7 linked regions of the Oryctolagus cuniculus genome follow. The protein of the gene in region 1 purifies or fractionates together with the protein of each later gene. This does not show direct contact. Links are inferred from orthologs where the notes say so. Each region holds a gene or a part of one and is shown in the gene's direction. Other genes may lie near its edges.

Region 1 (4,074 bases):
AAAGCCAGAATATGGCTGTAAGATAACAGCTAACAATGACAAACCCAATAACAGATCCAAGATACGGTTGTAAGGTAACAGTGAGGGCACATTTCAACCTAGTTCCTGGAAATTTGGGCCCACATAGTCTCTTTCTTTTAAAGGATTTTTTTTTTTTTGACAGGCAGAGTGGACAGTGAGAGAGAGAGACAGAGAGAAAGGTCTTCCTTTGCCGTTGGTTCACCCTCCAATGGCCGCCGCGGCTGGCGCACTGCGGCCGGCGCACTGCGGCCAGCGCACCGCGCTGATCCGATGGCAGGAGCCAGGAGCCAGGTGCTTCTCCTGGTCTCCCATGGGGTGCAGGGCCCAAGCACTTGGGCCATCCTCCACTGCACTCCCTGGCCACAGCAGAGGGCTGGCCTGGAAGAGGGGCAACCGGGACAGAATCCGGCGCCCCGACCGGGACTAGAACCCGGTGTGCCGGCGCCGCTAGGCGGAGGATTAGCCTAGTGAGCCGCGGCGCCGGCTTAAAGGATTTTATTTATTTACTTGACAGTGAGAGAGACAGAGATAAAGGTCTTCCATCCATTGGTTCACTCCCCAAATGGCCGCAACGGCTGGAACTGCGCCTATCCGAAGCCAGGAGCCAGGTGCTTCTCCTGGTCTCCCATGTGGGTGCAGGGCCCAAGCACTTGGGCCATCCTCCACTGCACTCCCGGGTCACAGCAGAGAGCTGGCCTGGAAGAGGAGCAACCGGGACGAAAGCCGACACCCACACGGGATGCCGGCGCCGCAGGCGGAGGATTAACCTATTGCGCCACGGCACCGGCCCCCACCGGCTTCACAAGAGACACCCTTAGTCGTTAGCAAGCAAAGCTAATATGTACAGAAGCAAGAGATCTACAGTTAGCTTTTAGCCACGCTCACTCCATTTTGATTCTGATTCTACAGTCCCAGTGCCTCCAAGTCACTAGTTGCCTCCCAGATCCTTGGGGCTCAGAGGTCACAGAGGTGTCCTTGGCCTGAGGGCATCAGGCTTCAGCATGTGTGGATGGGGCAGAGGGGAGAAGCACCTGACCTGGGTGGAGAGCAGGGGCAGAGTCCTCCAGCCTCAGGCTACAGCTCCCCACCCAGCCACACGCCAAAGGCAGGGCTCAGGGTCAGAGCTTGGTGGGACACCAGAGGGAGGGCCCAGCAGTGCTTTGAGCCCAGCAGGCAGAGATAAGGCTGAGGGGTTCAAAGGCCAGGAAGCTGGCCCGGAGGGGCAGGGCTGGGAACCCTCCCTGGGCCTGGAGCTCAGGACCGGCCCTGACCTCCTGACCCAGGTGCTCCCAACCAGAGAGCGGCCAGGCCAAGGTCCCCGGCTCCCCTTCCTGTTTGTGCTGGGTCTCTGGCTGGTTCCTGGAGACTTGGGCGGGGGAGCATGACTCAGCAGGCAGCATTTGCCCGGGAGACCCCAGCCCAGCACCTAGGGAGAGGCTTCCCCACGCCCATCCTAACGGGGGCTCCTGAGGGCACAGGGGCTTCCTAGGCCACCAGCGCTGGGGGCAGTAGGAAGGGGGTGAAGCAAGGGGCCTGGGGCCGCGTGTGATCGCGTGGCATCTACCACCTCCGTCCCAGGACCCCAGCTTGGGGCCAGCCGCCGGGGTCCCAAGGCAACTCCCTTGGGGAGCAGAGGGGTGGCCCCACCAGCTGCCTCTGGGGGTGGCAGGTGGGGGAGCAGGTGCCAAGGCCACCCACCTGCAGGGAAGAGACCCGGTCTCACCAGACACATCTGAGGCTCCACGGCAGCCCCAGGGAGGACCTGCTACTGGAATGGCTAATCCGGCGCCTCCAGCAGCCAATCACAGAGCCCTGCAGCCAATACCTGGGAGAGGTCTCCCAAGGCCCAGCCCCAGCCTGGCCCCAGGCAGCCCCAGTGACCCAGACACCCACAGCCTCCAGAAGGCGCTGAGCAGCAGGCCGACGATGGCGGTCCCGGCGTCCCCGGCCTGCCTCCGGCCGGGGCTGCTCCTGGCCCTGCTGGTGGCGGTGGCCTCGGCGGCCCAGCACCCCCGTCTGCTGAACCTACTCACCTCCAGCCAGGGCGCTCTGGACCGGGAGGCGCTGGGCGGCTTGTTAAATACGCTAGCGGCCCGTGTGCACTGCGGCGGGCCGTGTGGAAAGGTAACTGCCCCACCCGACGGCCCCCGGCCCCAGCCCCTTCCCGCCTGCTCCACCCTGTGTGCCGCAGCAGAGGGCCCGGGCAAACTCCAGGAGGCGGGCCTCGGGCGCCCAGGAATCCAGGGGCCATCAAACTGGTGGTGGCTCCTGGGGAAAGCTGGAGACGGGGAGCCCAGCCAGGGACGCCCTGTGTGCACACAACAATCCGCCGGCCTAAGACGGCCATGCGGTGTGGACTCCCGGGGTGGGGACCACTGTGTGCCCTGAGGGGGTGCTGCAGCTCCTTGCACACAGACCCACAGCCCGGCCTGGCCCCTGCCCACCCTCTGCCCACAGTGCCCGTCTGTGGAGGATGCCCTGGCCCTGGGCGAGCCCGAGGCACCGGGGCGGGCCCTGGAGTCCCGGCACATCGCCCGCCTCAGCGCAGCAGCCGCCCTCTTCCTGAGCAACCCGGAGGGCACCTGTGCCGACATCCGGGCTGGCCGCTGGGCCGCCCGCGCCGATGGACTCCTGGCCCAGCTCGAGGGCCCCGGGGCCCTGACCGCGGGCCTGAGCCGGCTGCTGCGGAGGATCGAGGACCCCATTGACCGCCAGGCCACTGGGGAGGAGGTCAGGGCATGGGCAGGCCTGGTACAGAATGGATGAGAAGGGCCGACGGCCAGTGGAGGGGCCGCCTGGGGGTCCTGGCTGTGGCCACACAGGGCACCTGGGGCACGCCGGGGAGGTGGCGGGGGGCTGGGGTCCAAGGTGGTGTTCACTGGCAGCTCCTGGGAGGAGAGGGCTCACAGGAGCGGACGCCAAGGGAGGGGCTGGTGGGGGAGACCCGGGGTGCCAGGGCAGGCGGCCAGCCCAGGCGCCGGGGGAGGCTGAGGCCATCTCCTCCCCCAGGCCTGCACGGGTGTCCCTCAGCTGCTGGAGGAGGCGGTGGGGGCAGGGGCCCCCGGCAGCCCTGGCGCGGCCCTGGCCGCCCTGCTGGACCACGCCAGGAGCGGGTCCTGCTTCCGCGCCATGCCGGACCCCCAGTACTTCGTGGAGTTTGTGTTCCAGCACCACAGTGGCGAGGCGCCCAACCTCACCCTGGCCGGTGAGACCCGGGTCCCTCGGGAGGGCGAGGCGGGGCCGGAGCCGGCGGCCGGCGCTGACTCTGGCCTCCCTGCCAGAGCTGGAGACGCTGATGCACACGCTGGGGCTGGGTGCTGAGGCCCACAGTGACCACAGGAGTCTGGGCAGGGCGGCCGGCCCCCAGGAGCCTGGTGCCCTCAACAGCAGCTCCCACGAGTGGGACGTGGTGAGTGGCCTGGGGCCCCGGGGGGCAGATGGGCACCCACGGGGATGCTAAGGCCCTGATCGCTGTCTCCCCCCACCCCGCAGGCGTGCCTGAGTGCCAGGGACGTGATGGCCGTGTACGGGCTGTCGGAGCAGGAAGGGGTGAGCCCGGAGGGCTGGGCCCAGCTGAGCCCTGCCCTGCTCCAGCAGCAGCTGAGCGGGGCCTGCAGCCCCCAGACCACCACCTCCACCAAGGACCAGCTCAGCCAGAGCGAGCGTGAGTGCCCGCCCGGCCGCCGCCGTGCCCCAGGGTGCCCCAGGGTGCCGGTTGTCCCAGAGGAGGGGCAGGGGTGAGGGGCCAGCCATGCGCGCCCCCTCACGCGGCCCTGCTCCCCAGAGTACCTGTACGGCTCCCTGGCCACCCTGATCATCTGCCTGTGTGCGGTCTTCGGCCTCCTGCTGCTGAGCTGCACCCACTGCAGCGTGGCCACCCACTACGTGCTGCAGACCTTCCTGAGCTTGGCCGTGGGCGCGCTCACCGGCGACGCCCTCCTGCACCTGACGCCCAAGGTCTGCCCGCCCCCACCCCCGCGCCCCCACCCCGGGACGCCGCCCCAGCCTCTCTCCCAGCCCAGCGCCCCCTGCTCCCCAGGTGCTGGGCCTGCA
Region 2 (2,553 bases), on another chromosome or scaffold:
GCCAGTTCAGGGTTGCCAGCTGGGGCTGACTCTGTGGCACACAGATGGCTGTGCCGGCAGGTGCGGCCACTGCTGGCCCCGTGATGTTCCCACAGGTGTTGGATTGGTGGCCTGTGGCTGGTGGCTCCAACTTGCTCCCTAGGGCTCAGCCTCAGAGCCTGCACTGTTGGGGTGCCAGTCTCCACCCCCAGCTCCCCTTCGGCAACCTGGGTCCTCCTGCTTCCCTCCCTCACGTCACCTGCCCTGCTCCCGGGGCAACCAGAGGCTGAACCCCGCTTCGTGTCTGAACTGGGGGTCCCATTGCATCAGAGACTTAGGGGAGAGACACATCAGTCTCGCCTGTGCGTGGCACTGAGCCGGATGCTGGGCCTGGAGTGGGTTTTCTGCCAGCCACCTGGGGACCTCAGCGCTCTGGGGGTTCAGCTGTTTGGTTCCAAGTTGGGGGGACCTACGGAGAAGCTGCTCCCATGAGCGAGGCCACAATGAACCTGGTCGCCTCTCTGGCCACCCCGGTAGCCATAGCAGTCACAGATCCCGAGGCAGGAAAGAGGGGGTGATGGAGCACCTCACCATGGGTCAGGTCCCTCCAGTTCTCCAGGGCCTGGCCTGGGCCTTTCTCCCAGCAACCTCTCCTGGAAGGCATGGCTGCCCCTTTAGACAGAGCAGGAGCCGGGGCTCAGAGACCAGACTCCTGCCCCACGTCAGCTCCGAGGGCGGGCACTCCTGTCCTCTCCACACGTCCCGTGCAGGTACTCGGGGAAGGAGTGGCGGGGGCGCTGCTGGCATCTGAGGGTCCCCTCCTCTCTCTGTCCCAGGACGCCTTTCAGGAGGAATACCACAGGACCGGCATCTTCCCAGAGACGCCCCGGGTGCCCCCGCGGCGGCCCTGGGCCATCATCAACTGGCTCTTCTGGGCCTCCCTGCTGCTCTACCCCTTCTTCCAGTTCGTGGTCAACACGGTCAGCAGCGGCTCGTCCCTGACACTGGCCAGCTTCCTCCTCGTCTTCTTTGTGGGTAAGTGGGCTCGGTGACAAGGACACCCACCCTCAGCTGCCGTGAGGGGCCCTGGGCCGGACTCCCCCTGGCTACTGGGGCATTTCTGGAGCCAATTTGCACGTAACAGCGAGAGCCCTGGCCAAAGCCACCCCCCAGGGATTGCGGGAGTCTCACGATCTGGCCCCGTTGGCCAGTGCCTCCTCAGCCTCGAGCCTGGGCCCCAGTGGTGGTGCCTGGGCGCTGGGTGCATCGCCGCTCCCCCTCCCAGGCCTCGCACGGCAGTGTGCACACTGCTCTTGCTCCTGCACCCTCCAAGTCTCATTTCCATGGCTGATAGTGCAGCAGGGGCCTTCTGAGTCGGGTCCCCCGAGAGCCGGCCCCGAGCAGAAGCCGCCCCTTTGTAAATGACCCACGTGGCGGCTGCACAGGCAGCTTGCAGACCCCCAGGCTCGTGCACCGGAGTCCAGGCGTATCCGTTCCCGTCAGCCCTGGGTCCGGTGCTCGCACGTGGAGGCGTGGTCTTGGCCCCGGGAGAGTGCCCCAAGTCTGCCTCCCGGGAGGGAGGGCCTTCCTCTGCAACCTCTGAGCTGGAGTTCCTGCATTCCAGCTTCACGTGGGCCCTGCCATCAGGAGCGGCTGCCCCCGAGCGGTGCTGGAACCCAGGCCCACGTAGATGTCCAGGCCTGGGGTGACTGTCAAGCTGGGGTCACGAGCCAGCACCCGGGACCCATCGGCGCTCCGCTGATGCGGGCTACCTGCAGCCAGCCGGCTTCCGGGGCTCTCGGACTGTCCTCACCCTGCTCTTCCCACCTCTGCAGCTTCCATGGGCGTCCGATGGATGATTGGCGTGACGGAAATCGACAAGGGCTCCGCCTACGGCAACGTGGACAGCAGGCAGAAACAGAATGACTGACTTGGGCCGCAGTGTGTGCCTAAGGGAACCTTGGGGAACTGGTGGCCGCGGCTCGGGCTCCCTGCAGGCCGCGGGCTCCCCGGCAGGGAGGCGGCTGGCGGCGCCGCACGGGGAGGAGATGCTCTTAAACCCTTTTCCTCACCATTCAGTGGGTGCTGGCTTTTCTTCTTGGTGTGGGCGTGGGTGAGTGGATGGGCGCGAGCTGGAGGGTGAGGCCCGTCTGATGGGGGGAGGGAAGGGGTGTCCCTCTCACCCTCCGGTGCAGTGTTCTGTAACCCTTGATGGCCAGACAGTGAAAGGGGCTTTAGTAAGAACACCCAATCACGCAGAGTCCTGGCCCCCATGTCTACACGGACGCCCCCTCCGTTCTCCATCCCACCTCCGCCTTGTGGTCGGTGCTCTTGCAGGAGGAGCTGCCCAGGGGTGAGGGCTGGTGTCTGGGGACACGGGGACAGGTGCTGGGAGGCTGACCACTGAGTTCCCACGCTCAGGCCCAAATCCCTAAAGAAACTGACGGTGAAGCACAAGAATCATGGGCGTCGTGTGGCGACACGTGAGGCCTTACACCCACTGGCGCCCCCTGCAGTCACAGCACAGCCAGGGCTGCTTTATAAAACACTGCGGCGGCAGCCACCAGGACTGGG
Region 3 (3,500 bases), on another chromosome or scaffold:
CTGCCTGTAAACTAAGGTTTAAAATCTTAACTTCTTAAATGGAATGGTACTAAACTTTGTGAAGCTTTTGAATCCTTTTATGGAAGGCCCATGTGGGTGCAAAGAACTGTTGTTAAGTGTGGTTTTTATTTATTGATCTCTTATTTGTGTCATCTCCATGTGCAGCTAATTGGTTTACCAAACCATTTTTCTCTTTCACCACAGCAAGTGATAACTAAAGAATACGAGCTGTTTGAATTCCGGCGGACAGAGGTTCCTCCGTTGCTACTTATTTTAGATCGCTGTGATGATGCCATCACCCCATTGCTAAATCAGGTGCAGAATCCTTTGTCAGCTTAATAGAAGGTTGATTTTTGTGATATTCCTCAAAATAGAGATATGGAGATAAATAGTGTGGTCTATTTATTTGCCTCCTATTTCTTGCTCTTAGTGTTTTGGTCTTGTATTTCCTTGATGCTGTGGTATCACTATTCTTCCAGCCATAATAATTGTGAACTCTTTCTTCTGCTTCATCCTTCCTGTCCTCTGCTGCTACTCCCCCCACTCTGAATCAAGACAGCCTCTCAATTCTGTTCCTCTTTCTGTCCTTTTCCATTCTTACTGCCATTGCCTTGTGCAGACTCTAAGGTCTTGTAGGAATATTGAAAGAGTTATCTAGTTGATTCCCTACTTTAATTTCTTCTTATTCTAATTTATCCACAGATACATTCTTGTTAATTTTCTTTTCCTAAAGCACAGCTCCAGTCCTGCTACTCTGGGCTTAAAAATCTTCATTGGTTCTCATTTGCCTACCAAGTTAAAAACCTCCTGGACCTGGCATCCCAGGGCATCACCACACATAAAACCTATGGCTTGTTGCTGTGTGGATATGCCACATGACTTCCTGTGCCTGCTACCTGAACTCTGGAATGTTTGAAATACCTTCTCTTCTCCCCTTCACCTATCAGAGTATTTCTCCCTTAAAACCACTCAAAAGCCACCTAATATCTCCTTGAAGACTGTATTCTTTCAGTTAGACACATTCTTTTCTCCCTAAAATCACTGTAGAACTTTGTATTGCTCTTAGGTCTCTTGCTACACCTGCCATATTGGACTCATACCTTTGGTTACTTTCACCCTCTCCTAGTTGTCCATTCTTCAAGGCTTCATAGTGTGTTTTGTAAGTGTAAGCACACTGCCTTGCACATTTTAGGTGCTCTATTAATAGTAGCTGAATTTATAGAAAAAAAAAAGCAGTCTATATTTCAGTTTCTTTCTAGCTTATACTATAATAATATTACTGCAAAGGAAAATCTGTGGCTGTGCAATGAAACTTCTCTCTAATAGAAGATAGCCCTGTATTCCTAAAATTCAAAGAAAAATATGTTCACTAAAGAAATATTTTTTTAAGATTTCTTTATTTATTTGAGAGGCAGAGTTACAGACAGAGAGAAGGAGAGACACAGAGACAGAAGTCTTCCATCCATTGGTTCACTCCCCAGATGGCCTCAATGGCCAGAGCTGGGTTGATCCAAAGCCAGAAGCCAGGAGCTTCATCTGGGTTTCCCATGTGGGTGCAAGAGCCTGAGTCCTTGGGCCTTCTTTCACTGCTTTCCCAGGCCATCAACAGGGAGCTGGATTGGAAGTGGAGCAGCTGGGACTTGAAGCAGCACCCATGTGGGGTGCTGGCACCACAGGCATAAGCTTAACATACTACGCCACAGTGTCAACCCCCAAATAAACTTTTTATTATATAAAAAAGCAGAAAGAAAAATAATTGCCTAAAAATTCCATCTCCCAAAGAAAAGCAACTATTCATTCAACAGATTTCAATGAGGACCTGTTATATGCCACATATTGAACTAAGTACTGGAGATTAAAGGTTAAAAGATACAATCCCTACTCTCAGAGAGCTCATGGTCCAATGAGGAGAGAAGTGAACAAATAATTTTAATTATCCAATAAGAGCTATGGTGGAAGCATGCATAGGATGCTGTCCATAGAAGCACATAGCATCTTGCTGCATTTCTTTTAAGTGCCCTAATGAAATTGCTTTTGTGGGTATTCGTTTGGCAAATCTAGGAAAGTACCCTCTTTTATGACACTTTTAATTTTTTCTAAATAAGCCTAGTTTTCTTAAGATAAAATAGATGTATATAAATACTTTCAGCACTTAGGTTCTATATTTATTAGGTAATTTGTTGGAAAATACTATAGTTTTATATAAGGGACCTATGACTGAGAGCAATTCATTCTCCATAAATGGTAAAAAGGTAAAATTTGGGGATTTCTGCTTTCCATTTTGTAACATGGGAAATCAATCTTTCCTCACAATTCATATTAGGTTAAGAGCGTAAAACAAAATGAATTCAGAGGCAAGGTTCTGAACATGCCAGTATTTTGATCAACTCACAAGGTTTTTCTGATAATATTAGTGTTCCCAGGATAAATATAGCACCACTCAGATCTGCAAGAACACACTTCTCATGCTGCAGAAAACCACAGACGCGCACAGGAAATGGTACAGCTTGTAACTGCAGTACCAATATAGCCCTATCTGTGAAGCCGAAAATATACTCTTCATTCACGGGCAAAGAGTTGAACTAATGATAGATCTAATTTGTTTTCTTTCTATCAAGAATATTAATCCTTCTGTCCTTCTTCCAAAAGCGTGAAATCTAAAAGTATCTTGACTTTTGAGTGTTTAACCAGTTAAAATGAGAATCTTAATGTTTATTATAGCACCAAGTATTAAAAATTTGAACTAGAGAATCTCCATGTAAAGCAGACTAGTTACTAAAAATGTTATCAATTTTCATTTGTTTTCCTGAACGTGTACTATTTCCATGTTTTGTCAGTTACCTTTTTTTTTTCTTGCCATACTTCTATATTTAGTGGACATATCAGGCCATGGTCCATGAGCTGCTAGGAATAAACAACAATCGGATTGACCTTTCCAGAGTGCCAGGAATCAGTAAAGACTTAAGAGAGGTCGTGCTGTCCGCTGAAAATGATGAATTCTACGCTAATGTAGGTGGTTTTTAAATTTTTTGAATTGTTTTTATGTAAGAAGACCAATATTGGCTTATTAGAATAGGGGCAGGAATGCGATTTCAAGTGAAAGGATGGTGGAGACTTCCTATAAATAGGCTGTGTCTCAAGGGAAGGCAGAAGACTTGGATTCTGACCTTTAACAATATGTTTTTTGTAGAGATCACACAGTTACTTACTTCTGTCCCTTCTACTAGCTCTTTGTGAGAATAGTAATGATATTCATCACCAGTGTCCTGGCTAATGTCCAAATTTGGTAATTAGAATGGAATTTTCCTGCCCTTCAATTCTGTATTCGGGATTATTTTTCACTTCTTTTAAATTTTCTGAAAGTCACTGGCTAGTTGATGAACTATGCTTCCAACTTTGTTTTTCACAGAATATGTACCTAAACTTTGCTGAAATCGGTAGTAATATAAAGAATCTCATGGAAGACTTTCAGAAGAAGAAACCAAAAGAACAGCAAAAAC
Region 4 (4,112 bases), on another chromosome or scaffold:
ATATTGAACTGCACAGCTGCGAGGAGTTGCACAAATGTTACCAACTCATTTGTCATGCAAACAGTGCTTCAGAAAGAAATAAAATACTATTATGTGGTGTATGTGCTAGGCAATCACTATATCAAATTCATGGCATTCCGTGCAAACACAGGCAGAGAAAAGGAAAACAACACTTGGTGAGAGAAACCGCACCACATGGGAGCAGCTAAGTCAGGGAAGACGGGGAGCATGACCAAGCCCAGGCTGTAATTTTCCCAGCGATTGGGGCCAGTGTTGAATACCCCTGGGGTAGAGCAAGTGGCAGGAATGCACAACTCTCCTGGGGCGCCTTGCTCGGTCCTCGTCCCGGGAGAGGAGGGACAGGTTGAGGGAAGGGGGGGGTGGGCCTCGGGACTGCTGGGTGAAGCTACCGGGAGGAGGGAGTGTGGGAGCGGGAAACACGCGTGGACCTACTAGGCAGGCAGGGAGCAGTGGGGAGGGGGAGGAGAAGGAAGGCGGTGACGTAGAGTTCCCTTGCTTCCCTTAGCGGGTGCTAGGAGCCCCTGTGTAAGCAAGTCGCCTGCCCCGCGAGGGGCTCTGCGCGGTGCTGGCCACAGAGGCGTGGGCGAAGCAGGCACCCTGTCCTAAGCACCTTGCACACAGCACCTCTCCCAAGCCTCACAGCCACCTCTGGAGGTTCACTGGCTGCCGGGACAGAGACGCTCGTGGTACAGGACCACACATCCGACAGCTGTGCAGCAGGGGTTTGCAGCCCAGCTGTCGCCTTCGGAGTTGACATCCTAAACCACGAGCGGCGGCAGCCAAGACCGCGCGCGTCTCGTCTCGGGGGTAAAACCCCGAGCGCCGGAGCCCAGGGCCTCCACGCAGCCGGGGCCAGGCTGTGTCCCCGGCGGGCTCGGCACAGGGTTGGCCCAGGACGTCTCGGCGCGGCGCGTGCTTGGGTCCCCCCCCCACGACACAGAGGAAACGCAGTCCAAGCACAGAGAGGCGAGTGATCGTGTCTCCCAGTGACTTGTCTCTCACCATTAGGCAATTCATCCATTAAATCAACACTTTATTGAATGCCTACCACTTGCCGTTGACCGCGCTAGGGGCGCAGGAAGCAAAGAAAAACACTGCTGGGTCTAACAAACGGAGAGCGAGGGGGAGGGCGCCGCAAGACGGGAAAAGGGAAGAAAAAAAAAATCCTCCGACCTCCCCAATATGGCCGGCGCACGAGCCAGGCCGACCTCCCCAACATGGCGGCACGCCGACCTTCCCATCATGGCGCGCGGCCCCGCCCGCCCCGCCGCGGCTGCCGGCGCGAGCAGTTCCGGGTGCGGTGCGCGCCGGGGGCGGGCGGGGGGCGGCGTCCTGGCCATGGCCGGCCTGTCGGACCTGGAGCTGCGGCGGGAGCTGCAGGCCCTCGGCTTCCAGCCAGGACCCATCACCGACACCACTCGGGACGTCTACCGCAACAAGCTGCGCCGCCTGCGGGGCGAGGCCCGGCTGCGCGACGAGGAGCGGCTGCGGGAGGAGGCCCGGCCGCGCGGCGAACTGCGGCTGCGGGAGGAGGCCCGACTGCGCGAGGAGGCGTCGCCGCGCGCCCGGCCCGCCGCGGCCTCTCTGCGGGCGGAGCCCTGGCTCTCCTCTCCGGCCTCGGCCTTCACGAACCCCGGGGCCTATGGCGATCTCGGGGCCTCCGCGGCTTCCTGGGCGGGGAGCCGCGGCCTCGCCTTTCCCGCCCGCCCCGCACCGTTCAGGCGCCGGGCCTCGGTCCGGGGCAGCTCTGAGGAGGACGAGGACGCCCGGTCGGCCGACAGGGCCGCGCTGGGCCCGGGCCTCTCGGGCCGCCGCTGGTGGGCCGCGTCCCCGGCGCCGGCGCGGCCGCCCTCCTCTCTCCTCGGCCCCGACCCGCGCCCGGGCCTGCGGGTCACGCGAGCCGGCCTTGCAGGCGCGGCGCGGGCCCGACCCGAGGTGGGGCGGCGGCTGGAGCGCTGCCTGTCTCGGCTCCTGCTCTGGGCCAGCCTGGGGCTGCTGCTCGTCTTCCTGGGCATCCTGTGGGTGAAGATGGGCAAGGCCTCGGCGCCGCAGGAGGCGGAGGACAACAGTACGTCCCGGGCCGGCGCAGGGGAGGGCCTCTGACTCTCCTCTCCCCTCCAGACCTGCGCCTTCCTCCTTCCCCGCACCTGCAATCGTGCCTGCCTTGGCTGTCTCCTGTTTTCCTTTTCTGCCCTGGCCTTGCCTCCTAACACGGCCCTCTCAGCCACGTGCTGGGGAGCAGGTTGAGGTTTTGCCCCAGCCTCTGGCTTTCCCTCTCTTAACAGGCCCACCCCCACCTCTTTCTGCTTATGTCTCCTGCGTTGCTCTCCTGCTCACCCACACACTTGAGGGCACCCTCTACATCACTAGCCCCACTGGTCGGGTCTGGTTGAGGTCCCAGCTTTGCAGTACCAGAAAGGCCACCAGTTCACTTCTCTGGACCACAGGCCTTCGTTTGTCAAAGGGGTTCCTCCTAGCTCCGTGCCTGAGACAGGCACTGGGGGAGCTTTTAAGAGTTCAGGCTGATGGCAATGGGAGGTGTTGGCGTAGCTTGCGGCGCCCTCGTGCAGTGAGGGGTCTGTCGGATGCAGTGGGTCTCCCAGCAGCTGGGGGCTTGCATTGCCTAAATGGGAAATTTGAAGAGGAAACAACACAGGGGTCATTTAATTCTAAATCTAGGTATAGAGGGACACTCTGGTGCAAAGCAGGAGTACGATTCACACTGCTCCCAGCCTCGGGCCAAGGCCACATCTTTCCATGCCTAGTGGGAGCAGGTGAAATACGGGGGGAGGCTAAATTGTGTCTCTGCTGTGTGGCAGGGGGATGCTGGGGGCATGTACCGTCTGTGGGCATGGGGACCGCAGACTTAATGCAGGTGCCCAAGGGATTGCGGTCTGTCACCTCTGTGACTCGGCGTGTCCACCTGCAGGAGAAGTGGGGCACGCCCCCAGTGGCGTTCGGGCCCGGGTGGAGGTGGAGGTGCTTTAACACGTCAGCGCTGGGTTAAATGCTGAGATTTGCCTGCCGCTCGCCCCAGGGATGGTGGCGTCCTTGTCAAACACCGCACTTTGTGGACGGTTTACAAAGCTGCCCCATGCTTGTGTTGTGTTGTTGGAGACCACGTCCCTGAAGATAAGCGGAGCAGGCCCATCTGGTCCCATTTGAGAGGTTCAGAGCGTGTGTGTGTTGCCCAGGGACCTGTGGCTGGCGGTTTGCAGCTGAGCGGAGGGCCCGGCTGTCCCGATTCCTAGCCCAGGACGGGGAGACCCTCACACTTCGCCGTGTGCAGTGCAGAGTGCCCCCTTAGCTGGCTGCCAGCCCCGTGTTTGTGTCCCTGTTGGCCTCGCCCTGCGTTTTTCGCCAGTGGTCTCCGTGGTCTTCCCCCCAACCCACACTTTTAATTTCCTCTGTTTCTTTTCTGGGTCTCAGTGAAGTTGTTGCCAGTGGACTGTGAGAGGAACTCGGATGAGGTGAGTGTGGGCTGCCCGGGCTTTCATTCTTCCTCCCCAGGCTGTCGGCCTCCACCAGGAGGGAAACTTCTGCAGAAGAGGATTGTAATAGGCTCATTTTCGGGGAGTGCGTCCTGTAATGTGCCAGAATCACATGGTGTTCTGATGTTTGTGTCAGACTCAATTGTGACAGTGAGGGAGCGCTTGAAACAGAACTGAGCTCCCAGGATCCTACCCTGGGCTTGTCGCAGACGCTTTCCCATCAGGCATAGCGCCGGGGGCTTTGATGTGCCCGAGTCGATCTAGGGGATGCGGTGGGTTGTTGTCGGGGGCCTCCGCAGCTCCCAGGCCTTGTCAAGCCTCAGGAGGCCAGGTTCTCCGCTCCGCACGCTGGGCCTGGCCGTGTTTGTCTGTGGCTCTGGAGTTGCTGCTCTGCTGGGGAGCACGGGGGGGGGGGGGGGGGTGTTTGCAACACATGTCCTGGGAAGTGGAGTCGGCCCGGGGCCCGCGTGCGGATTTGTTTTCTGAAGCTCTAATGTTCTCTACAAATAATATCGGGGGAAGCCAGCGGCCCCATCCCTCCGTGAATATGACGGCAGCACCTGCCCGGGGCTGGGACGCCGGGAAGATACGAGGCGGCCA
Region 5 (4,068 bases), on another chromosome or scaffold:
TATCATACACTAGATTTCCATGTATGGAGGATCTATTTCTGGAGTTAAATTTTATCCCATTGGATGATCTGTTTGTTTATGTACCTGCACCATAGTTTTAGTTATGGAGGCTTTGTAAATGTGATATTTTAATACATGACAGGGATAGTCTCTCTTCATAGCTCATTATTTCATTTATTTTCCTAGTCGTTCTTATGTGTTTCATTTTTCATTGTCAGTTTTGGTAGCTCCATGAAAAAGTATTTTTATTGATATTTTTGATGATGTTTAGATGTCCTAACCAAGAACAAAGGGTGTTCAAATCCTTGTGTCTTTCAGAATATGTAGCTTAGTTCATGTAAGTTTTAAATGTTGTTAAGCTTATTTCTAAATGTTTTATCATTTTCATAGCTTTGGCATGCAGGTTTATCTTATCCATTATTTCTTCTAGTTATTTGTGGATATGAGGACTGATTTTTGTATGCAAATTTTTTTGCCTTTCTCAGTTCTTTGGTGTAGGTCTATCATGGATTCTTCTAGAGTCCTCTAGGTGTATTTTTAGTATCAGCAATTGGATATAGTTTTGCTTCTTTTTCATTTCTATCTTTAATTGTTTTCTGTAGTTCAGTTGCATTGGCCGATACCTCCAACACAGTATTAAATACCCTTGGAGATCTTGCGCAGCTTGGATTTGCTCCTGACATTCATGGGAATGCCTTGTGCTTTCTTATTAGGTAAGGTGCTGACTTTAGTCCTAAGGTTTTTTTTTCAAATCAGTAATTTTAGGGCAGATTGATTTGATGAATGGGAGGCAGATTATCTCACCCCGTATTCCTCTCCCTAAACTCCAGATGGAAGATAGGAAATAAAAGGGAAAAGGGGAGCTAGAGTTCTTTTATATTTTCCTTCCACCAACATCATCCTCTACTTTCCCTCAAACCTCAATTGCTTTTCTGAGACTCATCAGCTCATTTTGGGTTGGTGGAGCAGAGTATCTTCCTAATCCTATTTTCCAGTGCAGGTTGACTGTCTTAATAAGGGAAAAGGTAGCTTTTCTTTATGAGATCTCTAAGTCAGCCTCCTACTTTCCCTTTCCCTCATGTTTTTACCTGTTTCCTACTGCTAACATTCCTTTACTCCATATGGGTATGGGGCCTCATTCCTTTTTGGTGAATGTTGTTTTTATCTTTCTCTCCTCTCTAGGTGTATGGCTGCTTTCTGATCCTGTAGCATAGAGGAAGCATCTCTAGAATTGTGGGAGAGTGCACCAGGTAAGCCAACGGCAGCCTCAAGTCATACCTTTGCCTGCCCTCCCCTGTGGGGGCCAGGATGCTGAAGAAGCAGTCTGCTGGGCTTGTGCTGTGGGGTGCTATCCTCTTTGTGGCCTGGAATGCCCTGCTGCTCCTCTTCTTCTGGACACGTCCAGTGCCTAGCAGGCTGCCGTCAGACAATGCTCTCGATGATGACCCTGCCAGCCTCACCCGTGAGGTGATCCGCTTAGCTCAGGATGCCGAGGTAGAGTTGGAACGTCAGCGGGGACTGTTGCAGCAGATTAGGGAGCACCATGCTCTTTGGAGCCAGCGGTGGAAGGTGCCTACTGCAGCCCCTCCTGCTCAGCCGCATGTGCCTGTGACCCCACCGCCAGCTGTGATCCCCATCCTGGTAATTGCCTGTGACCGCAGCACCGTCCGCCGCTGTTTGGACAAGCTACTGCATTATCGGCCTTCAGCTGAGCTGTTCCCCATCATTGTCAGCCAGGACTGTGGGCATGAGGAGACAGCCCAGGTCATTGCTTCCTATGGCAGCGCAGTCACACACATCCGGCAACCTGACCTGAGCAACATTGCTGTGCAGCCCGACCACCGCAAGTTCCAGGGCTACTACAAGATCGCACGGCATTACCGCTGGGCATTGGGCCAAATCTTCCACAATTTCAACTACCCAGCAGCTGTGGTGGTGGAAGATGATCTCGAGGTGGCACCAGACTTCTTTGAGTACTTCCAGGCCACTTACCCACTGTTGAAAGCAGACCCCTCCCTCTGGTGTGTGTCTGCCTGGAATGACAATGGCAAAGAACAGATGGTAGACTCGAGTAAGCCAGAGTTACTCTACCGCACAGATTTCTTTCCTGGCTTAGGCTGGTTACTGTTGGCTGAACTCTGGGCTGAACTGGAGCCCAAGTGGCCCAAAGCCTTCTGGGATGACTGGATGCGCCGGCCTGAGCAGCGAAAGGGGAGGGCCTGTGTGCGTCCAGAAATCTCAAGAACAATGACATTTGGCCGGAAGGGTGTGAGCCATGGGCAGTTCTTTGACCAGCATCTCAAGTTCATCAAGCTGAACCAGCAGTTTGTACCCTTCACCCAGCTGGACCTGTCGTACCTTCAGCAGGAGGCCTATGACCGGGATTTCCTTGCTCGTGTTTATGGTGCTCCCCAGTTACAGGTGGAGAAAGTGAGGACCAATGACCGGAAGGAGCTAGGAGAGGTGCGCGTACAGTACACAGGCAGGGACAGCTTCAAGGCTTTCGCCAAGGCCCTGGGTGTCATGGATGACCTCAAATCAGGTGTACCCAGGGCTGGATACCGGGGCATTGTCACCTTCTTATTCCGGGGCCGCCGTGTCCACCTGGCGCCCCCTCAGACTTGGGATGGCTATGATCCTAGTTGGACTTAACAGCTCCTGCCTGTCCCTTCTGGGCTCCTTCCTTGCAATTTCATGATCTAAGATGGGACCGTAGTCCCTGGGCTGCATTGTCTTTTCTGTCTTTCCCTCTTGGGTCCATTTTTTTTTTTTTTCTTTTTTGAGTGGCATTTGAATACACAGATGACAAGGTGAGGGTTCTTTTGTTAAAGGAGTTAGATCAGGGAAAGCATTCTGCTGTCTGTTGGGTATCAAGCAGCAAACCACTGTGTGATAGGGGAAGAATGGGCTTTTTGGGGCCAGAAATATCCATGTTCTGAGTTTTTCTCTTAGGTCATCTGCAGAGGAGTTGGCAACTTTAGCTTTCTTAACCAGGCCTTTTCTTTCTGACCTGAGAGCCAGGGCATGAGACTTCTTGTTCATGCTCCTTTTTACCTTCCCCTAATAAGGGTCTGGGCTACAGGAGAAGTGAACATATTGTGGCCAGAATAATACTAACCAGAGGGGCCTCATTGTCAGAGTCTAGGTGCAGTTATTGGGTTGTCAGAGTTAATGCCTTCTGTTCTTCTTTCCTTATTCCTGACTTCTGTCAGCTCTTCTTTCTTTGCAGCCTAGCAATTTTTGGTTCTAAGATGAAAAATGAAGAGGAAAAGAAATATTCGCACCCAGCTATTGGGAGAAAGGTAGTGGGAAAAAAACTTCATTGTACCACTTCAAAGAGACACTCTTGACCTCTTCCTTTCTAAAAATTAGTCCCCTCCCTGTTGCTTCAGGAGAATGCTGTGCTGGTCAGTTCTGTGTGATCCTTCTTCCCTGAGTTTTATACACAGGCTCCTCCCTAAGGCTGTGGCTTCTGGTGGCCCTCCTGACATAAGTTACAGTGGCCAAGACCAGGACAACTCCGGCCATGAGCTAAGTCCTGCCTACCTTCTCCAAAACATTCCCATGTCCTCACAGGCTAGGATGCAGATGTTGGTTGGAGAGGAATTTGTGTGTGTGTGTGTGTGTGTGTGTGTTTTCTTGCCTGACCTCAGTTTCATGGATGAAAAGTGGAAGCTACAGAATTATTTTCAAAAATAAAGGCTGAATTGTCTGAAAAATATTTGTGCCTGTGTTTATATATCCTGGAAAAGGAGGTAAAGGGTGCTGAAAGAAAGGAAAAAAGCGAAGAAGAGGGTAAGTTGAAGGAAGGAAAGCAAGTGACTGGAAGAGAAAGGAGGGAGAAAAACCATGGAACAGTTGAAGAGAGGACTGGGATGGATTGATGGTGGAGTGTTGGGGGGTTCCCTGAAGCTCCACTCCTACTGGTAATCTGTACATCTTAGCTGTGAAACCCTCAGTGTCATGGTGAATCCCTTCCTGCTTCTAGGGAGCTCAGTGGGCCTGGTCTGGGAGACAACCCGTTTTTTTAAACTCAGCTCCTCCCTCAGAGTAGATGCTTCATGCTGA
Region 6 (3,500 bases), on another chromosome or scaffold:
CAGCTGGGGCGGGGCCGGGCAGGGTTTCCCGTGTGTGTGTGTGTGTGTGTGTGTGTGTGCGCGCGCGGGGGACATTCGCAGGCAGCTGGATCGCAAGTGAAGCAGCCAGGTCTCTAACCAGCGCTCTGCTCCGGGATGCTCGTGTTGCAGGGCGTCACAGGTGGCAGCTTAACGTGCTGCACTACAGCCCCATCCCCGGAATAATTTTTCTTAAACAGCGCTTTGAGCCAACAGCCTAGCCTAGTTGGAGGTATTGCTGTAAACCGCCCTCCCCCCGCAACCGGGTTCATTTGCCCCACGTGGTGCAGAAAACCAGCCACTGCCATTGGGGTGGTGGAAGAAAGTAGATGTGTGTTACAAAGGAGGAAGCAAGGAGCGATTGCGTAATCCCTAGGGAATTAGGGGTAAAGGTTTTTTATAGATTGAAACTAGGGCCGAGAGATGCGTGATCAGCTCGTGTCCAGCTTCCTGCTTTGCGCACTTGTACACAACCCCTAAGAGCTGGCTTGAGCTGTACTCAGCTCACAGGTGGGCAGGCTGACAGCCAGCGGGCTGACGCCGGGGGTCTTGTCTGTCCTACGCCCTCGGCCACGGACACCGTCCCTGGCTGCCGCCGGAGCCCCTGGGCCCCTCCGTGTCCGGAGTGGAGCGTGGGACCCGCGTTCAGAAATCGGGTCCGATTAAGGAGCAGGAGAAGAGGAGTCAGTGCCCAGTGGCGTGCATGGCACTGGCCTGTGGCGGGCCCTGGCCCCGGGTGGCGTGGCGGGGGTCTTGGGTGGGGTGGCTTGGCGTGGTGGGGGTCTGGGGCATGGCACCGGCCTGGGCTGGGCCCTGGTCGTGACGTGGCGGGGGCCCCGGGCTCGGCGGGGTTCCCGCGCGTGGCACCCCGCCAGCTCTCACGCTGTGCTCTCCCCGCAGACGCGGATCGTGGAGCTGGAGGGCCGGGTCCGCCGAGCGGCCGCCGAGAGAGGCGCCGTGGAGCTGAAGAAGAACGAGTTCCAGGGGGAGCTGGAGAGGCAGCGGGGACAGCTGGACAAGATCCAGTCCAGCCACAGCTTCCAGCTGGAGAGCGTCAACAAGATGTGCCAAGACGAAAAGGCAAGACCCGGGCGCCCCTGCTCCGGCCGCGGCGCGCCCTGGGCGGTGGTCGTGGCTCTCCTAACGTGGTGCGTGGGTCTCACTCTGCCTCCAACCCTGGCCATCCATGGCTTGTGGGTGGGGCCCTCCAAGTCACGCCCACTTACCCATGATGCACCTGTCTCATCCAGGATGCGGAAGGGGGAGGCACCTCTCCTGGGTGGGACTGGTCATGGTCACGCCCACTTACCCATGATGCACCTGTCTCATCCAGGACGCGGAAGGGGGAGGCACCTCTCCTGGGTGGGACTGGTCACGGCCACGCCCACTTTCCCATGATGCACCTGTCTCATCCAGGACCGGAAGGGGGAGGCACCTCTCGAGGCCCCGGGATCGCAGTGGTCGCGGTCACTTTCCCATGATGCACCTGTATTGTCCAGGACCCGGAAGGGGATGGCACCTCTCCTCCGGAAAAGGAAGTTACGTTCCATGGGGAGGCGCCATGACACTCGATCTTCCCACCAAACACCGCTCTGTGTGTGGATTCAATTAGGGCAACATCTTGTACCTTATCGAAGGGGCTGAGACGCCCCGTGTGCATTTTGGCTCTTGTTTTGGGTCCGTTCCGGCCGCCTCCCATGCTCTAGTCCTAGGCAGCTGTGTGGCCCACTCATGACTGGGATGTCTCCTTGGGGAGAGGCCCGCATGCAGGCGAGTGTGTATAGTCACTCTCAGATAAATCCTGCTCTCACTTGAGCACTACGCTTATTCCTCTGCTTTAAATTCCTTGTATTCAAAGCTCATCTTGATCAAGCTAGTTGGTTTGATTGACTGGAAAGAGTTAGCCAGAGAGGGAGAGACAGAGATCTTGGACCTGTTGGTTCACTCCCCAGGTGGCGGCTGGGGCTGGGGCTGGGCCAGGCCAGAGCCAGGAGCTTCACCCAGGTCTTCTGTGTGGGTGCAGGGGCCCAAGCACTTGGACCATCTTCAGCTGCTTTCCCAGGCCACAGCAGAGAGCTGGATCAGAAGTGGAGCAGCCGGGACTCGAACCAGTGCCCACCGGGGATGCTGGCGTCTCAGGCGGCGCCTTACCGGCTCTGCCACAATGTGGGCCCCCTCTGCTTTAAATTCTAATCTCTGTGGGGACTGGAACTTGGCGTGGACTTGCTTAGGCCCTTAACAGATCGATCCCCTGTTGGCTTCCTTTCTACACACATATGTTAAACACCTGCTCTGGGCTGGGCCTGTGCTAGGTGCTGGACTCCCAGAGGAAGCATCCGTGCCTTCACGAAGGGCAAGAGTTGCAAGCTTCTATGTGCTACTCACAAAATAGAGGCTCAAGAGAGTAGGCTTTTCATTTGGGGGAGAGAGAGAGAGAGAGATCCTGTTTGCTTGTTTACTCTCCCAAAGCCTGGATCGGCTGGCACTGGGCCAGGCCAAAGCTGGGAGCTAGGAATTGGCTGCAGGTCTCCTGTGGGTGGCTGGGACCCAAGTCCGTCAGCCATCATCTGCTGCCCCCCAGGGTGGGCGTTAGCAGGAGGCTGGAGTCAGGACCTGAAGTTGGGACTCAGACGCAGGCACTGAGATTGGAGCTTGTTTTGGGTCCCTTCTCAGGCTGCCCTGTGGTGCACGCACCTCTCTCTCTGGGCTGGTTGATTCACCGACATCCAGTGGGTCAGATGTGGACTTGGCGTTAGTAGGAGCTGGTGTCCAGCATTTCGCTGGCCTCAGGCGCTCTGGACAGATTGTAAATGCACTTTTCTTTATCTGTAGAATCCTCTGCCATATTCACAAACTCATACTTCTTCCTCGGGCATTGTTCTGATTTTAATGTTAGAACAGAGTCCTGTATTTTTCCTCCCTGGGGGACACTATTTGTGTTTGCGAAGTCCTCTTCCACTGAATGTCATAGGACCTGGGCATTTCTCACCGTGTAAGTACACACAGCATCTCTTAAAAAAAATAAACACTATTGGGGAGAAGAAGTAGAGTTTATTTTCAAAGAATTGAGTTTGAGAGAATTCCTCCTGGGATTTGCAACTTCCTGTGCAAATGTCACAGGCTCCCAGGTTCTCAGAGTCTGGGAAGATGGTGCGCCATCTCTTCCCAGACCCTGAGAGTCAGCCTCTGCTGAGTCTCTCGGGCTGACACTCACAGGCACCCCTTCCGGGTCCCTTTCAACCCCCTTAGGAGGCTGCGGCCATTTTACAGGCGTGACAGGTGGCGCTCAGGGAGCAGTGGTCGCCAGGATGAGACCTGGACCTGGGATGGCCTCCCGACTCCCATCTTCCATGTCCTTCCTAATGTGCCTTTGTCTTGTTCTCTGCTAGAAATGTTCTCTGCAGCACAGTGGCACTCACCACTAGGGTTGCTGGGGCCAAGGGACTGAATTTTAGTGAATTGTAACCATTTACATGTAAATG
Region 7 (4,089 bases), on another chromosome or scaffold:
AGGCTTTCCTCCATCGTGTTCTTTGCTCATCACAGAACTCCTAAGGCGGGTGCCACTTCCCGGGGAACAAACTCAGAGCTAGACTAACACGTCCAAGGTCGCACACAAGAAAGCAAACGGCGGGTGCTCAGACTCCGTGGTTCCAAATGGAATGTTCTTTCCACCTCCCCCCCTCCACAGAGGTTAAACAGTCACACGGACCCAAGAGAAACGTGAACTCTTGGGAGCACCTTAAGTGCCACTTCTGCAAATCCTCCCCAGCTTCAAGTATTAATTTACTCAGAAATGTTTACTGAGCACTAACTACGAGGGTGCTTCATTTGTGGAAAACAGAATCCAAAGATAGTTTCTTCTGGGCACGGTATTTTGAAATTCATGCATTTAAGGGAATCTTGAAAAAGTCTATGGAAAATGTGCATGATGAGCGACTATGCATGGATTTCCAAACACACTCTCCAAATACACATCTCCTAATTCCAGTTTTCCACGATGTTTTTTTTTTAAATGCTCTGGTCCGTGCCAAGTATGGCACCTAGTGTTGGGAGTACCGAAGTGACCCAGGCAAGAGGTGCTTGCTGTCTTGTTCAGGAAGCTGGTCAAACAGGGAAACGAATGCATAAAGAAAATACAAGGGTGATACGAGAAAAAAATACATATATGCGTCCTGTTTGTGGGTACTACTTCAGAACGGCGGGTCAGAAAAATTAGCATTTGACACCAAGCTTGGTCTTCAGTAGGCGCCTAACGAAAGATACTTTTCCACAGGCCCATTCCGGAATTCCACGAAAAGAAAGAAAAAGAAAAGCGTACTTAGCAAGGAGGCCGCTCCCACGTTGCTGACTCTTTGCAGCCACCCGGACGAAAATGGACAGTTCCCGGCCAATTAATTAGGCCGCCACCTTCAGAGAGCGCCGCGGGTCCTCCCAGCCGCCAGGGGGCGACGTGGCCGGAGGCGCTGCCAAATTGACATCGGGAACCGGTCAAGCCCTCAACGCCTCGAGTCTAGGCAGAGGTTAAGGGAGGGAGGCGCCAGAAAGCTCTGAGACCCCAGGGAATCGTGAAGTCACTAGGCCTCTCAAGGAGAAGGCGTCCTGAAGTTCACAAACCCCCACTACTGACACAAGCCCTCACTCCCTCGGGGAAAGACCTCTTCCGGCGCCTTTAAACCCGGAAGTAACGCTGCGTCCAATCCTGGCCCTTCTTCCGTACTTCGCGCCGCGGCTACCGAATCAGCGCCCAGGTGAGGCGCATGCGTCGTCAGTGACCTTTGATCCGCAGACACCCACTCGTCCGCCCCGCCCCTTCGCCCCGCCCTCGCGGTGAAGATGGCGCTCTCCAGGGTGTGCTGGGCTCGAGCTGCTCTCTGGAGTTCGGCTGTCACCCGTGGACCTTTTGTCAGCCGGAGGCTGCAGCTTGGTCACTCTTGGGTGGCCCCTCGGTGAGGGACCTGGAGAGAGAAAAGCGTTGTTGACGTCCAGGCCCTTGCAAGTGGCTCCACCTTACTTGCATGCTGTCTTCATTTTCAGGGTTCCCCGCCCTGGCCCCGGGATATTTTTTTTATTATTATTCTCAAGATGCGCACCCCGATCGGGTTAGAGACCTGACTTCCTGACTATCAGCTTTCAGTGCTCCGTGTTGTCTGGTCTACGCGTCCGCCCTGAGTGTTCCGAATCCATCTCTCAGCCCCGTTTTCGGCTCAAGTTTAATAGCTACTGTGTTGATTCCACCTCTCTCTCTAAGCCTTCCCCGTGGTTCAGATTGTCGCAGAAGCTTTGCAGTCTTTCCGGCTCCGTTTCACTGCCTCTCTTTCTTTCCTGCCTGTCCTCCGCCCTATAGTCTGTATCCCTAGGCCCCAAGATTTCTTCCTTGATTTCAGGAGCTTCAGGTCTTGGCATACGTTCTCTGAGGCTTGAGTTGTATGTTAGGGACCCCCAGGTTGTGCGGGGCTGGGGGTGGGGGGCTTCTTGGACTGGTTCCCAGATAGTCTCTCTTGATCTTCCTTGTAGGTCTTGCAAGCTTCACTTTTCTCCAAAGGCAGATGTGAAGAGTTTGATCTCTTATGTGGTGACCAAGACAAAAGCGATTAATGGAAAATACCATCGTTTCTTGGGCCGTCATTTCCCCCGCTTCTATGTCCTGTATACAATCTTCATGAAAGGTAAACACAGAACTACAGTAGAAGTCCTTGAGTCAGCTCTTGGGCCGCGTCGGCAAAGGAAATAAATGAGATTGTTTTGCAAGTTGTGCCCTGAGGATGTGAGCTAGGATGTCTTCTGTTTCATAGAGGCCTGATTCTTATAAATTAGAATGTGAGGATGTTTCTGGAAAGATGGGATGAGAAACAGCTTCTGACAACACAGGAGAGGGAAGAGAAAGTAGGTTTCTTGTGGGTAACCACACACCTGGCTATAGTTGATCGCCCTGTTTTTATCAGCTGACCTGGCCCATTCAAAGGGGAAGTCTAAATGCAGGTCCCAAATCTATCTTAGGTAGCATGTTGTACTAAACAGTACTAATTGGGTTCTGAATGTTGTGGTTCAGACATCTACATCCTAGGACACCATATAAGCAGTGCCCTGTCTACTCCATAGTCAGGGTCCCGCATCAAATCTCAGCTTGTCACTTGCTGGCTGTGTGATTGGGTTCGTTCCCTAACCTCTGTGTCCCTTGGTTTTCTCAAAATCTGTTAAAAATAAGAATAGACCCTATTGACTACATGGTTGTGATCGTTAAATAAGTCACTGCCAGGAGTCTCCAGACATTTCATAGAAAATGTGTATTATGAGAAAACTATACTTGGGTATCATAATCTTTGTACCAAACCAAACATCTTTTAATTCCATTTTTTCCATGCACTTTTTGACATACTCTGATATGTGAAAGGTACTAAGTAAGTTCCCATTAAGTGTTAGTTGTTATAGTGTGTGCTTTTATGATAATGCCAATTATGATAAAGTACCACACTAGTCACCTTGGAAAATTATTCTAATTTTACAATTATTTATTCTTATCTAGAGAGATAGAATTGGCTGTTTTGTCTGCCCTTAGGCTTATAACTAGGACTTAATAAGAGAAAGGTTTGAAAGCATTTTGGTTTGTTTTAAAACCTCTAATTGAAAACTTGTAAACATACATATGCAAAATTAAAATAATGTAATGAACTTCCATGTACTCAACCTCACTTCAACATTATTAACTTAAGACAGTCATTCTTACCTCATTTAAATGCTAGCTTTCTCCTTCATTTTTGAAGTCAATCTGGATATCACTTAAATTGTAAATATACTATGACAAGACTTTTAAAAAAGCTAGTCTTGGCCGGCAACGCGGCTCAATAGGCTAATCCTCCACCTAGCGGCACCGGCACACCGGGTTCTAGTCCCGGTCGGGGCACCGGATTCTGTCCCGGTTGCCCCTCTTCCAGGCCAGCTCTCTGCTGTGGCCCGGGAAGGCAGTGGAGGATGGCCAAAGTGCTTGGGCCCTGCACCCCATGGGAGACCAGGATAAGTACCTGGCTCCTGCCATCGGATCAGCGCGGTGCGCCAGCCGCAGCACGCCAACCATGGCGGCCATTGGAGGGTAAACCAACGGCAAGAGGGAAGACCTTTCTCTCTGTCTCTCTTTCACTATCCACTCTGCCTGTCAAAAAAAAAAAAAAAAAAAAAAAAAAAAAAAAGCTAGTCTTTGGTAAAGGTAGGAATTTCTATAGTACGAAGCCTTAACATAGAATTATAAAAATATATTGGATTATATTATTTATAAAAGTGTTCCAAGAAAGTAGGTAAGTTAATGTCTGGCTGGGTGATCTCTAGGGCTAATCGAGCAAGACTCTCTGAAGTCAAGTGAGCTTGATTTTGAAAGACAGGATGAATAATGAGTCCCAACTTAGCTTGAAGAGAGGTGTTGTGCTAGGGGAAAAAGGCCGGGTTGGCCTCATAAGAGTTCTGGGTTACCTCCATTAAAGCGTTTATGCAGTGTAATGTTGGGGAGGCTGAACGTGTGTGTGAGTGTGTGCATGTGAGTGTGTGTGTGTGAGTGAACATAGGGTAGGAAGCTCTGATAAGATTCAAACTGGGATAACGTCACACT

The links.
Region 2: the proteins of SLC39A4 (region 1) and AGPAT4 purify together in Homo sapiens (affinity purification with mass spectrometry; 3 studies listed by BioGRID and IntAct, with this or other methods). This does not show direct contact. The link is inferred for Oryctolagus cuniculus from reciprocal best matches to the Homo sapiens genes SLC39A4 and AGPAT4.
Region 3: the proteins of SLC39A4 (region 1) and VPS45 purify together in Homo sapiens (affinity purification with mass spectrometry; 3 studies listed by BioGRID and IntAct, counting the BioPlex papers as one, with this or other methods). This does not show direct contact. The link is inferred for Oryctolagus cuniculus from reciprocal best matches to the Homo sapiens genes SLC39A4 and VPS45.
Region 4: the proteins of SLC39A4 (region 1) and LEMD2 purify together in Homo sapiens (affinity purification with mass spectrometry; 3 studies listed by BioGRID and IntAct, counting the BioPlex papers as one, with this or other methods). This does not show direct contact. The link is inferred for Oryctolagus cuniculus from reciprocal best matches to the Homo sapiens genes SLC39A4 and LEMD2.
Region 5: the proteins of SLC39A4 (region 1) and MGAT1 purify together in Homo sapiens (affinity purification with mass spectrometry; 3 studies listed by BioGRID and IntAct, with this or other methods). This does not show direct contact. The link is inferred for Oryctolagus cuniculus from reciprocal best matches to the Homo sapiens genes SLC39A4 and MGAT1.
Region 6: the proteins of SLC39A4 (region 1) and GOLM1 purify together in Homo sapiens (affinity purification with mass spectrometry; 3 studies listed by BioGRID and IntAct, counting the BioPlex papers as one, with this or other methods). This does not show direct contact. The link is inferred for Oryctolagus cuniculus from reciprocal best matches to the Homo sapiens genes SLC39A4 and GOLM1.
Region 7: the proteins of SLC39A4 (region 1) and LETMD1 purify together in Homo sapiens (affinity purification with mass spectrometry; 3 studies listed by BioGRID and IntAct, counting the BioPlex papers as one, with this or other methods). This does not show direct contact. The link is inferred for Oryctolagus cuniculus from reciprocal best matches to the Homo sapiens genes SLC39A4 and LETMD1.

Annotation. Positions count from the first base shown.
Region 1 is NC_091437.1:168,134,529-168,138,602, reverse strand, and holds the start of SLC39A4 (zinc transporter ZIP4), read left to right. Parts: upstream 1-1,274; 5' UTR 1,275-1,794; coding exon 1,795-2,145; intron 2,146-2,478; coding exon 2,479-2,751; intron 2,752-3,030; coding exon 3,031-3,226; intron 3,227-3,302; coding exon 3,303-3,430; intron 3,431-3,513; coding exon 3,514-3,685; intron 3,686-3,805; coding exon 3,806-3,978; intron 3,979-4,060; coding exon 4,061-4,074. UniProt on the Homo sapiens protein: Selective transporter that mediates the uptake of Zn(2+). Plays an essential role for dietary zinc uptake from small intestine. The Zn(2+) uniporter activity is regulated by zinc availability.
Region 2 is NC_091436.1:7,536,589-7,539,141, forward strand, and holds the end of AGPAT4 (1-acyl-sn-glycerol-3-phosphate acyltransferase delta), read left to right. Parts: intron 1-815; coding exon 816-1,014; intron 1,015-1,814; coding exon 1,815-1,909; 3' UTR 1,910-2,053; downstream 2,054-2,553. UniProt on the Homo sapiens protein: Converts 1-acyl-sn-glycerol-3-phosphate (lysophosphatidic acid or LPA) into 1,2-diacyl-sn-glycerol-3-phosphate (phosphatidic acid or PA) by incorporating an acyl moiety at the sn-2 position of the glycerol backbone.
Region 3 is NC_091438.1:47,877,321-47,880,820, reverse strand, and holds part of VPS45 (vacuolar protein sorting-associated protein 45), read left to right. Parts: intron 1-204; coding exon 205-315; intron 316-2,874; coding exon 2,875-3,009; intron 3,010-3,409; coding exon 3,410-3,500. UniProt on the Homo sapiens protein: May play a role in vesicle-mediated protein trafficking from the Golgi stack through the trans-Golgi network.
Region 4 is NC_091436.1:135,444,715-135,448,826, forward strand, and holds the start of LEMD2 (LEM domain-containing protein 2), read left to right. Parts: upstream 1-1,312; 5' UTR 1,313-1,359; coding exon 1,360-2,089; intron 2,090-3,450; coding exon 3,451-3,491; intron 3,492-4,112. UniProt on the Homo sapiens protein: Nuclear lamina-associated inner nuclear membrane protein that is involved in nuclear structure organization, maintenance of nuclear envelope (NE) integrity and NE reformation after mitosis.
Region 5 is NC_091445.1:34,438,062-34,442,129, reverse strand, and holds MGAT1 (alpha-1,3-mannosyl-glycoprotein 2-beta-N-acetylglucosaminyltransferase), read left to right. Parts: upstream 1-1,268; 5' UTR 1,269-1,308; coding exon 1,309-2,652; 3' UTR 2,653-3,719; downstream 3,720-4,068. UniProt on the Homo sapiens protein: Initiates complex N-linked carbohydrate formation. Essential for the conversion of high-mannose to hybrid and complex N-glycans.
Region 6 is NC_091432.1:144,419,183-144,422,682, forward strand, and holds part of GOLM1 (Golgi membrane protein 1), read left to right. Parts: intron 1-918; coding exon 919-1,098; intron 1,099-3,500.
Region 7 is NC_091442.1:54,530,880-54,534,968, forward strand, and holds the start of LETMD1 (LETM1 domain-containing protein 1), read left to right. Parts: upstream 1-1,289; 5' UTR 1,290-1,325; coding exon 1,326-1,438; exon of another isoform or gene 1,439-1,484; intron 1,485-1,526; exon of another isoform or gene 1,527-1,574; coding exon of another isoform or gene 1,575-1,591; intron 1,592-2,006; coding exon 2,007-2,158; intron 2,159-4,089. UniProt on the Homo sapiens protein: Plays an essential role for mitochondrial structure and function, as well as thermogenesis of brown adipocytes.